Danio rerio: one gene and its partners. The protein of the gene in region 1 purifies or fractionates together with the protein of each later gene. This does not show direct contact. Links are inferred from orthologs where the notes say so. Each region holds a gene or a part of one and is shown in the gene's direction. Other genes may lie near its edges. The genes, in order: mcrip2, atxn2 and ddx6.

Region 1 (4,238 bases):
GTTCGTATCGAACTAAGTTAACCATTGCACCGAGTGTAAACATGTTAACACCACAACCAAACTTTAACCTCGTGTAGGATTTTCACCGCATTTAGTGACCGGAATAACACACGCGGCATTCTGACGCTACCTGCCGTGTGCATCTAAGATTCCGGGAAATGCGGAGGTTTTTTTTCTCTCATTCGCCGTGCGGTATCAAACATTGCATGAAAAATACACACTTAGAGCAGTTCCTCGAATCAAATATCTCGTTTGTCGCGAGGGGCATGAATGAATTCCCTGAATGAAAGCCAAACTGCAGTTAAAGTCCACCATTTAATAATTTGGCAAAAAATTTGACTACAGATGTCCACGTAGGTTAAACACCATCACTTTTTACTGTGTGTGTGTGTGTGTGTGTGTATTTTGACTCTGAAACTCACGCGTGCTCAAATAGACACTTCCACACCATCCCACTTTTCTTCCTCCGACACTCCCCCCTAAACAGAGCTGGACACGCCCACTTTTCTGACTTTTTCCAAAGTAGAGGTGTGAAAACACCCTGCTGAAACGAGGGGGTTTCATGGCCCTTTAAAGACACAGGCCACAAAAACAGCTACAAGCAGAAAAGCCCAATATTCTGAAAGCTATAATAAATAATCTGATGGGCCTTTTGAGCTGAAATCCCACAGACACATTCTGAAGACAAAAGACGTATGTTAAATCATGAAAAAGGGGTAAAATATGTGCTCTTTAAAACAACAAGTCTGTAATTATATATACCATAAGGGAATCAAAATATTTATTATATAAGCAATAAACTTGGTCTTCTAAGGCAGCTACCAAACGCCAACCTTATGTTGGACACAGAAATACTAATTTAGGATTACTTAAAATCCACGTTTATCAGTTTTTTTGGGCAATTATTATAAAAATAAACAAATACATTTCTAACCAAGAGACATTTTGTCTCTATATTTGCTTTTCAAGGACTGTTGTGCTGTCTATAACAGTTGTGTAACAATTACCTCTCCTCACTTTTTTCGTGTTATATTAACTAATAATTAAATAAATGTGCGACTTCAGTACCTTCATGGCAGATTAGTAGGTTTAACCATTCGGTTTATAACACACACACACACACACACACACAGCAAAGTTCAGCAGTATTAATGTGTACCAAGTCTGACCAGTTCCCACGTGGTGCGTCAGGCGCATCGCAGCTGCGCATATTTACGCAATCCATTTACTTGATTGCGCGATGTTTCTACTGTACACTTGAATCGGTTACATGTTTGAACGCATTAAAGAATGATGTTTGGATTTTACACAACAGCATGCTTCCCACGTGGTGCATTCAAGCGCCTCCTATCAGCGCAAATACACGCAGCCTGCCGTTTATCTCGTTTATTACACAAGTTTATCAGTTGCATGTTTAGCGGCATGATGAAACCGTGTTTAGATTGCACACACAGCCCGTTTGATGGTGTCCACAAGGTGAGTAGGTGAAAGGTGACCCGAGTTATACGTCGCGGGGGCGTGCCGTGACGTCACGGAAGAAGGTTGCGATCTGACCGTCCGAATTTACAGTAGTGTCCAGCCTGAACCAGAACTCAGAAAGTTTCCCAAGATAGACGCCTCTCGCGCATACAAACACACCGGACGCTCTGCGAATTAGCCTGGCGCGTAATTAGGGTAATAAACGCTCTTAACCTTGACTGACCTTACGTCTGCTGTAAGTAAACACAAGGGCGCTTAAGTCCACTCGCATATGCTCCCTGCAAGCGTCTGACCGGCAGATTTGCAGACGGGATCGACACTGCTTATTTCCACGGTGGCTGCGTCAAAAGAGCTCCGTCCTGAAGGGGGATCGCGTGACGTTTTCTGGCGTGCATTTAATTGTGACTTAAGCACTGACCGATCCGTAGACCTCGCGTGGATCTATCGTACCGCAGGGGTTCTCCAGAAACCGTCTCTCACATGATGTACACAATAACCAGAGGTCCCAGCAAACTTGTTACACAACGCAGAACAGGTAAGGTGAACAGGAACAGCATGCAGACGACGCAATATCGCTGATTTCTAATGCTTTTATGGTGTATATTTAAAAAAAAACGACCCACTTATAGACCTTGGCTGATGTATTAACACATACTTTCTCTATTTCAGGCCCTACACAACAGATTGAGAGCAAAGGAAACGACCTGAAACAGAAGCAGAGCCACTGGCTTGTATCGGAGTGAGTGATATAATGTAACACATCTAGTACCTGATTGATCTCCTCACGTGAGTTTGGTCACTAAGGGGAAACTTAAACATGATTTAACTGCCCCATCGTCCTTGTTTCGTTTATACGCAGTGGACATTTAAAAGTATCCACAGACAACAAGGTGGCCTCATTCATAAATCAGGACGTGCTGTTTTTACCCCTTTGCCAGAGTCGCATGTTTTTGCAGCGCCGTGTGACCTTGCAACAGTAGCGCGTGCGCGTGAACGAGAGCGCGTGGAGTGTCGGCTTGTTTGAAGATTGTGTCGCGATTTCTGTCGGTACTCATTTCTGTAGATAGGGATTAATAATTGATCTTTTGGCGTTATTATATTGCGAGCACATGCTTGTCACACCCCTTATATTCCCACAAGGACGTTGTGCAGCACCATGTGCTGCTTTCTAAGGCGATTTTTACGACGGTCATGCGTTCGCGTATGCGTCCTGTCAATTGAGTTTGATATTTGAATAGCGACCCATTGATGATGATGATGACGATGGTGGTTATGTTAATATAGTTAGTAAATGGGTTTTATAACGCGTCACTATAGAAACGAGGTTGTGTAAGGAAGTATTTGGTCTTAAAGGGACAGTTCACCAAAATATTGTGACAGGCTTTTCACTGAAAGGGATAGTTCACCCCAAAATGGAAATTTACTCACTCTGAAGTGATCCCAAACCTTTTTTGAGTTTCTTTCTTCTGTTAAACACAAAAGTAGATATTTTATAGAAAGCTAAAAACTTATAACCATTCGCTTATATAGTCGAGAAACCAATGCAATGGAAATCAATTGTTACAGCCTTTAATCATTCTTCAAAATATATTTTTACTTTTAACAAAAGAAACTCAAATGTTTAAAATAAGGTTAAATAACAGAATGTAGCTAAATCTATAATTTTAAGTCTTTTTCAGACCTGTTAATATTTGTATACTTTAAAGAACACACTTTATGTTAAAGTCAATGGATGTCCAAATAATTAGTAACTATAATTCCAAATAATAATGAAGAAATTGACATGGGCCAGATCATAAAAATTAAAGGATTGATGGTTTACCACCTATACCACTATGTATAACTTTACAACCAGGTAATATTATTATATATCTTCTAATTTCCCACTGTGCAGTTCACCAGCGCCCAAGATTGTGTTTCATCGTCTGAACGGAAAGCGGTACCACAGATCCACCTCTCCAAAAGCCGACAACACAACTGAAGGATTCACACCAGCTCACGAGGAAAATGTCCGGTTTGTTTATGAGGGTGAGTTCATTTTCCTGAATGCCGTTGTTAATGTCCTAGTTACCATTAAGACCTTGAGGCTGGTTAGCAGCTGCCGTGACCTCAGTGAACTCCAAGTATTCAAGGCTCCACAACTCAAAAGTGTCACAAACTGGCGAGTCTTGAGGTCATGCAAACTAAACTAAACTAAACTGCAGTTGTGGATCACTTGGGTTCAGAGTATCATTAACGTGCTTCGGGAGGCCGGTTCATCAGATTTGTGAGAAGAAGGACAATTGTTGTCTTGCAAAGGAGGTGTTTGTCTACAGGCCAGACCCCTCCTCCGCAGGCTGATGCAACGCCACCTCAAGGGCAGCTTTTAGGCTCTTTTGTACAACGGCAGGCTAGTCAACTGAGGCTTAATGTTTTCTAAAACTGCTTTACATGCTGTAGAAAGGTGTTGCATAATGCGGTGAAATCTCACAACCGGTTTAGGGAGTGTTAAAGCACTTTAGTCAATTTTGTCCTAAAAGAAAAGCATGTTTTTCAAGTTCTAAACTTTTTATTAACCCTTATACATTGTTGGGGATGTTTTCATCCACTCTGGGGTGATTTTTGAGTCTTAAATTGGCCATAACTTTTTCTGACTTTTGTGAAAATCTTATTTTGATGTACTTTGGGAAATGCTTTGACATTTTTAAAAACTCAATGATACACTCTGGGCAAATTGAATACCCTTTAATTATGTTGAGAATGAAAACATCCACTGAATT
Region 2 (4,152 bases), on another chromosome or scaffold:
CCACTGATTTTAGAGGAAACGCCAATGCTGACTGTGCTGCTTGATATTTTTTAAGGAAACCGAAACATATTTAGTTGTCTTTAATGAGTTGAAAAAAAACAGCATTAATGTACTTTTGTTAAATAAAAGTATTTCGTTAAACCAATTCACAGAACAACAGGCCCTTAAGCAGACTATTGAAATGGTGGTTCTGTGGACCTTTTTACAGTTATTTAATTTCTAATAAATTATAAGGTTCAAATATGGCATTTTAAGTGACATTTTCAAGCACTAATCTTTGTTGGATTAGCTTTTCGGATGGTCATCAAAACCACAATCTTTGATGGAACAAAAATATTTCCTTTAATTTTGTCAGAAATGTTCACTATACTATTTTACCATGTGCATTTAAACTGTACGTTATTTACAGTTTTCTTTCGAACCACCCGAAGCACCCTGGCTACAGACCTGTACAAAGAATCTACATTTTTACATTATCAACTTTATTGTGTAAGATTTATAGGCATTTTTCCTTTTTTTTTCTTATCTAAATTATTTAGGTCCACATATGACAAGTTTATGAGTATTTGTGCATTCAGGTTAAAACCATTGACTTCTATTTTCTTTTTCCACTATTGAAGTTAATCGTTACAGATTTTTAGCTTTCTTCAAAATATCTTCTTTTCCTGAAGGTTTGAAACCAAATGAGGGCGAGTGAATTTTGAGTAAATTTTTATTTTTGGATGAACTATTCATGTAATTTCAAGTTAATTACATATTTTAAATCACAAAAAAAAAAAAAACTAAAACATACACAAAGAGGAAAATGAGTCAATGGAAAAACATTGTTTAGTTGACCATATTTAGATCAAGGGTTACATGAGGATAACGCTTTATTTAATAATTGCTTAAAATCTCAAAGCAGAGAGTAAAATAGTGTATATTAATTAGATTACTGTTTTAAATATTAAACTCGAAGAAATAAAACTAATCAGAACAACTAGGCCAAATAGAGCTTGAAGAATTTAACTGTATATATTTCACCACCAGTCACCTGGTCTAGCGCCAAAGCACACACGCACAAAGTGATCAGTGCATCTTCTGAAAATAGTGCGCTCGACATATGCGCATCATTCCTCAAATCTAACATTCATCCATTTCTAATATTATCTGAATAGTGTATTACGTTCTTAGAATATTTACAATAACTATTGACGATCATTTCTTCTGGAACCAATAAAACCATCAATAGGAGTACACACATTCCTGGGATGTGTATATATCCTTCCGCCACTTTTTGTGGCTTTTCAGACTGTTTAGGTCTATCGGTCAGTGCTGAAGCCCCGCGTGAACTGTGTATATCACTGAAAATACCGCACTAAAAATAACAAAATAGCGAAATTACCGGGTTGGTATTTTTGTAGACATCTAAAACATATGGGTCGTCCGCGCTTTGCTTTTAAAACGGGCTGAATTGTCTCTGTTTAGGAGGAATTAATCAGCAGAGCTAGCTGAAGTAGCAGGCAGCGTCAGTGGAGACTCGAGTAACTGGAGGAGCAGTTTTACACGTTGGCTGTCACTAGATCAACTGTCAGCTAACACGTCAAATAGCATTTTCCGCTCTCGTCCGCGGCATCAAACGTTTTTTTTCCAAACAGTCAGACAACTCTGCTCAAGCTGTCGTTTATGGGATCATCATGTCCATGAAGCCGCAGGCCGGTGGTAATCGCAAACCCGGCGGAAGCAACAGCGGAGCCGCTGCGGCCTCCGGTACCGGGGGAGCAGGAGGAGGCGTCGGACGCCAGAACATGGGCAGGTGGGTGACCAATCTGCATAACAGGCTTTTAATTCGGATGGACCGACGAGCGTGAACCAACACGGGAATGCGGCATGCCTGCACTAGTGTCGTAGTTTAAAAACGCAGGTTGTGGAGTTGCAGTGATCAGGATAGAGCGCAAGTAGGCCGATATAGGCCAAGTTCACAGGACAGGGATTCACAGGTTAATGGACGCAAACTACTGCGGTTATAAAATAACAGCTGATAGCGGACAACATGTTCGTGTATATTTCGAGAGGGGCGGGTTGTCTGCTGTGGGTGCTGGTCACGTTCAGGATGAATTGTGCGTCTTTGCCGGTGGGATATGGCTGTGCCAGCTTTTCCCAGGACAGATGCTTTTGTATCGTGTCGGAATCTGTTATAGGATTGAACGTGTTTGACATTTTAGTCACTTACAAAGAAATAATCTGAGAGTCATAACGTTACAGTGGGTATAGAAGCAAGTGTTAGCCTGCTAACTACTGTAGCAAACATTTATCTGCTCATACTGTCAGAAATCTGTCTAATTTAACAGGATTTAAAGTATGTTTTGTAGATTAACATCATTCAGGTTTTTGGTCATTATGTAATCGAGAGATCATAGTTTTTCTACAACGTTTTACCAATTGCTTCTGATTTGTGTCAGTCCAAACAAAAAAGGGTTGTTTGCTACAGATAACGTTACCTAGTTTTATGCTTTTATCTTCCCGTCAGCTGATTTGTAACCTCTTCTGAGGTGCCCCTGAATCGATGTTTTGGGAATTCATCATCCATTATGAGATGTCACATGTTAGCTCTCTGTTTGACTATTGACAATGACATTAACTCAGCGTCCGATTTAGATTTCTTGAATTCCGTTAGCTGAGGGCCACTAGGTCGAATCTGCGTGTTTCCCGTTACTTTTCGATTGATCCTTCATGTTGGAACTATCTGTCAGTCGCGTGCATTTCCGATGAGGGGCGGCGCGCGCGCTCACGAGGACAAGCGCTTAGTAGAGTGGAAAGTCAGAGAGCTGCACTCTCAACCTTGACGTTTACAAGAGGTTGCATGCATAAGTCTGTCCTTGCATAATGACGTTTGAGTAAGTATGTTGTGTAGAGGTGTGACAGACGAATGTTATTGTCGTGGTTTGTGTTGAGCTGTCATGAATGAAGAAATTAACAGTGGAAACTTTTAATCTAACAGCTGAGAATTGGCATCACATAGTTGCACACTGCATGGGGAAAATGTGATTATTGTTTACGCAAAACAACAAGAGTGATATGACTTGTACAAGATTGTGGGAATCTTGAGTGGTGCAGTGGAGCCTTTCACTGCCTGTAATGCAGCACTTGATTTGCAGCCTGGCTGTTGAAAAATAATTGTCATTCACAGCTTTTATCTTACTAATGTATTTTAATGTACTAGATGCTGATAGTTTTTGCCTAATCTTTGAGCACTGAACTTATTTTGCTGCACATTAGAGATCTTGTTGAAATTTTGTCCAACACATTGAAAGCTTTACAATTCAGAATCTGTCATATGTTTGAGGTATATGGCTGTTAGTGGATATGAGTCACGTACTGTCAGTAAAATGCAGATTTTCTTTTTAGAGTCTGTTGTTTGGGAACTACATAAGTGCTTCTTTGCACAATGAATTGCATGAAGCATATGATTATTTGTCACTCCTTTGTCATTACAGCTTTGAGTGTTTGCCAGTACATGTGCAATCGATAACCCTACTGGAATCACTTGAATTTGTGTTCGTAGGAGTGTGTGACTTTTTTTGCTCTTTAAACCGTGTGTACAGCATGTCAAAGATTTTCTGTGTATGCATATGGTTATAGTTCAACTGTTATAAAACTTCTCAGTCATGCTGTTTTCTCTCCTCCCAACAGAGGACGCAACAATGCCAAAGGACCCTCTACTGCAGTGAGTTTCGGCTTTTCTTTTTTTCATTTATTCATAGTGTAAATTTATTAAATTGATTCGCATACAAATTTATATTCCCTGTTGAATCATATATACAGTGCTCAGCTTAATTGAGTACACCCCGTTTCGAAAATAAATATTTTTATCCATTTCTCAGTAAATATAGGCAATGTAGTTTGGTGCATTTAAACAAAACAGGTTTATTAAACAGATGTATTTATTAAAGTTATATTTTAGTCACCAGACATATTTAGAAGTATAGAGTATTTAGAAATAATACAATTAATAAATTTGTAGGTTGTATTTTTTTCCCGATATTTTACTTGAATTTAATCAAGCAAAAAAATTACAACCTACAAATTTTCAACTTAATTTTTAAATTTTTGCTTCTTGTTTTTTCCTCATTTTAAATTTTTGTTTAATATTTTTCTATAACAGATATATGT
Region 3 (4,363 bases), on another chromosome or scaffold:
CTGCGAGTTTATATGTATGTGCATATAAATGTGGATATTTATGCGAGAATCGAGTTTATCTGTATATGCGAGTGTGTATAGGTGTGTTTGCATGCAGCAAGTTTATATGTATGTGCATGTGTTAATGTGAGTGTTTATGTGAGGATCGAGTTTATATGTATGTGCGTGTGTATGTGGGTGTATTCATGTGTCAAGTTTATATGTATATACACAAGTTTCATTCATGTTGTTTTGAACATCCAGTAGTATGGGTGTATATGCGAGTAATTTATAGGTGTATATACACGTGTTTTATGTATGTGTTGATAAGCAAAGTTTGATTTAAATCCTACACGGCACCTCATAAATAACCCTGAGCAAATACCTTACAACTCCATGTTACGTTACCCTGCATTACTTTGTGCCTCGCGCTCCCTATAAATGATCATTTTGTCCTATTTCTCACACATCTGTAAACACAATATCGACAAACTGATAGTAACAATTGAAAGGTGTTTGATAAAGGATGTCTCTCATCATAGACAATCATGATAGCCTTATTTAATACACTTTCTTTGTATATACTATTAATGCCCTTTTGTTTTATACCCAAGAACTTACTGGCTGTTGTTACCACCTTTCCCAGTGACCTCTTCTGGGCCTCAGAAGCATTTCCATACCAATAGATCACACAAAATGTTGCAATAATTTCAATAAAAACACTAGAAAATATGATCAACGATGTGTTGTCAACAATAAAAGACAATCGTTTCTTTAAGAAGTACATTCTCTGTTGCCTTTTCCTTATAGACTCAGTCCACTTACGTTTCCTGTCCAACAACACATCTAAATATATTTGGATGTAACTGCATTTAGGTGAATTGTATAAACTTAATTGGCTGCAGTGTATGAGTGTGTATGGATGTTTCCCAGTACTGGGTTGAAGCTGGGCATCTGCTGTAAAAAAAAAAAAAAAAACATATGCTGGATAAGTTGGCGGTTCATTCCGCTGTGGCAACCTCTCATGAATAAATGGACTAAGCTGAGAGAAAATTGATGAATTATTAGGTTTAATGTATATTATGTCAAACTTAAGGACACGTTCGTCATCGTGCTCAAAATTTATGTTTTTTCGCAACGAAAAATAAATAAATAACAGACATACTAATGCACAAAAATGTTACGTTACGTTAAAAAACTACTTTCTAGCCACATAAGTCAGTCTAATTAGTCATTAAACTACTCAAGGCAATTCATTAACTACCTCCAAACACCTCAGGCGTGCCTATCAACAGATTCCTACTTTGTGCACTTCAAGCCTCTTCAACAATAATAAAATAAGCATTATTATTAAAGATAAAATATGTTTTTAAATACCCAAATAAAAAAACAGTATGTCTAAACCACATGGATCCTTACACCAATTAGTCAAGTATAAACACGTTGAGCTAATTAAATGACACCCTTCACATGCCGTGCTTCAGCCAAGACTACAACAAGCTCAGGTAGGAATTAAACTGCGCTGCTATGTAATTAGGACGTTTTTAAAGCAAAATGTGTAATTGTGACGACCTCAACCGCTTACAAATAAATAAAACATAAATAAAACGAAATTCTAAGAGCTTAATTAACGTATTCTTAATATATATATATTTAACAACGCATTTGAAATGACGGCAGCATTAAATTGCGTTTTCTAAACAATCGTCATATGCGTTGCGTTTGTGTGGATTAGACAGGGCTCTGTCTCATGTGACTGATTATGGGAGGGTTTAAAGATGACTGGAAGCCATCTTACACACTCGCTTTACACCCCGAAATATGTCACAACTCTACACCTATAATTCACAAACACAAACACACTGAAAGATATTCTCTGCCACGTTTGGTAAGTTTGCAGAACGTCAAATCTACGTGTTGTGTTCTGGGGATTAAGTCGGTTTTGTGGGTTTCTTTGTGTCTTGGTGTTTACAAATTTGTGATGTCTTTTTGGCTCGCAGTGTTTGTGTTAGCTGATTTAGTTAAGAGTTAAATATGTTCTTGCTTCTGTTTTAGCGTTTATGAAACGAGCGTTTAGTTCTTTATACTGGTGATTGTGAATCTGAGGTTACGCGTGCGGCCTGTGTGCAAGCCAAAAGCTAACGAGCTTGAGCACTGCTAATATTTCCTTCCTAACAGCTTATATATTTAGATTTGCTTATAATAAAAGCCACATTCCATCGTATTATGATAACCGTGTTTGCTAAAGATTTAAAATGTATCCGACTATTAAAATCTGTCTGGCTTGAAGCCGTCAGCGGTAGCTGCGTAGCTAAACATTAGCATTAACGTTTGTTGCGTGACGCCGAGTTTCACGTTATGTGGAATCAATACGGTTAACCTTTAAGATGTACATTTTAGCTTAATAACTACAACGTGACACTGGTTATATCGTATAACATAACATTGTTTTTTAGTATTCGTGGAATGAGTTCAATGAACTATACGCTTTCGCTTAACTTAAGGTAACCAAACATTTGTTATGTCTAATTTTAAGCTCCACAGCTGTGTAGTCAACGTGCAACTTCACCTGTTTTTATAGATGCATAACAACACTGAAGTCACATTTATTAAAGTTTGTCATTTTTAAATGCTTTAGGTAAACGCGAGGCTGTTTTACAATGAGGCCTATCGTGTTGACATTGTGCCAGCTGCTGCTGCCATCATTATTGAACTCACATTAGACATTTAATAACGTTTATGGTCTGTTCATAGATCTGAAAATGAATTAAAGTTGTAATTGGTTACAAATTCAAGAGACTTTTTTATCTTGACACTTCTACCAGAGCTTGTCCCTGTAATTTCTGCATGAGTGTGTGTTAACTCTTTTGATGCTGTAATATTGCAGGTAATTGTAGAAGTATAAGTGTTAGTGCTAGTTTGTGGTAAAGATGCACAGAGCAATTAGCACACTTTTTGTTAAAAGAAAATTAAAATGATGGAACCTTTTATCAAACCCAACCTTAACCCTGATCTCATCTTGCATCACAAAGTTTCACATTAGACCTCATACGATGTCTTGCTTGGTCGACATTAGGCATGGGCTGGTATAAGATTCTGATGGTATGATAACCTCGGATAAAAATATCTCTGTTTTACGATATTGTGATTACTCCTTTTAAAATATATTCTAATTAAATGTCTGGGTAAAAAAACTAACTTTTTTTTTCTCCCCTTTCAACACAATTTATTTTATTTAGAGAAACATTTGATATATTTTGTAATGGTAAACATGTTAGGCTAAATAATTCAAATGAATCATTGGCTGCGTCCGAAACCGTATACTTCCATACTATATGGTATGCTAAAATCAGTATGCGAGTCGAGTAGTATGTCCAAATTCATAGAGTTCGAAAATCAGTTTGCGAGAAGTACCCGGATGACTTGCTACTTCCGGTGAGATTCCGGAGTGCGCATCCTATGCACGCTGCGCTGTCCCATAATGCCACGTGAGAGAATTCATAAATGGAAGTTAAGCAACGCAACTGATGCAGGTAGGTCACGTGACCATGACAAAATGGTGGATATAGTACGTCCGAATTCTGTCCATACTTTTCACATTCATACTGTATAGAACGTACGTTTGTAACTGCCGAGTAGTACATTTAAATTCAAAAGCAGTACCTACTGAGTAGTAGGCGGTTCGGACACAGCCTTTGACTAATGCTGTCTTCATTTGTTTAAAAAAACACAGATTTCCTTACAATTTAAAACAGCATCTTTGGATTTTTTTTTTGATTCCTTTCTGCTGGAAATACTGTTGTCCTAAAAAACCAACAACAACAAAAAACAAAACTTGGACATACCTTAGGAATGGTATAGTAGGAAACTTTTGCGGTTTTAAAACCTTGGCTTTTCCAAACCGTGGTATACCTTAAACTTATCGTCCCATGCCTCGTCGACATTGCTTGATCTAAGCACTCAATGACTAAGTTTACATTAGTAATTAAATTATTTGCCTTAATCTGAATAAGACAGTAATATGATTAAGGTGTTCGCATAAGTTGCAATTTGTATGTTCTTTTCATGATCCTGTTTTACATGTTGTAGCACAATTCAATTAACTTCATAGAATCGCCACGCTATTCACATTTCCTCTGGGATATCATGTAATTTCCGGTGTTTTAAATTTGTCGACTTTAACTGCAGTTTGGCACTTTCACTCAGGAACATTTCATGCATGCCTCCCCTGACAAATGAAATATTGGATGAGTATTTAATGCTGTAAGAGGGTCGTTTTATTGGAATTTGATAACGCACGCAGTATTGGAAACATAAACTCCACATTTCATGATGCAGGTGTCTGTGATTCCTCACTGACTCGGTAGGTACAGAGAATAGTGTC

What was found.
Region 2: the proteins of mcrip2 (region 1) and atxn2 purify together in Homo sapiens (co-immunoprecipitation; 3 studies listed by BioGRID and IntAct, with this or other methods). This does not show direct contact. The link is inferred for Danio rerio from reciprocal best matches to the Homo sapiens genes MCRIP2 and ATXN2.
Region 3: the proteins of mcrip2 (region 1) and ddx6 purify together in Homo sapiens (co-immunoprecipitation; 5 studies listed by BioGRID and IntAct, with this or other methods). This does not show direct contact. The link is inferred for Danio rerio from reciprocal best matches to the Homo sapiens genes MCRIP2 and DDX6.

What each region holds. Positions count from the first base shown.
Region 1 is NC_133197.1:27,546,658-27,550,895, reverse strand, and holds the start of mcrip2 (MAPK regulated corepressor interacting protein 2), read left to right. Parts: upstream 1-1,398; 5' UTR 1,399-1,959; coding exon 1,960-2,014; intron 2,015-2,148; coding exon 2,149-2,218; intron 2,219-3,373; coding exon 3,374-3,507; intron 3,508-4,238.
Region 2 is NC_133180.1:42,591,702-42,595,853, reverse strand, and holds the start of atxn2 (ataxin-2), read left to right. Parts: upstream 1-1,288; 5' UTR 1,289-1,676; coding exon 1,677-1,795; intron 1,796-3,672; coding exon 3,673-3,706; intron 3,707-4,152. UniProt on the Homo sapiens protein: Involved in EGFR trafficking, acting as negative regulator of endocytic EGFR internalization at the plasma membrane.
Region 3 is NC_133193.1:46,839,352-46,843,714, reverse strand, and holds the start of ddx6 (probable ATP-dependent RNA helicase DDX6), read left to right. Parts: upstream 1-1,443; 5' UTR 1,444-1,484; intron 1,485-1,779; exon of another isoform or gene 1,780-1,867; intron 1,868-4,363.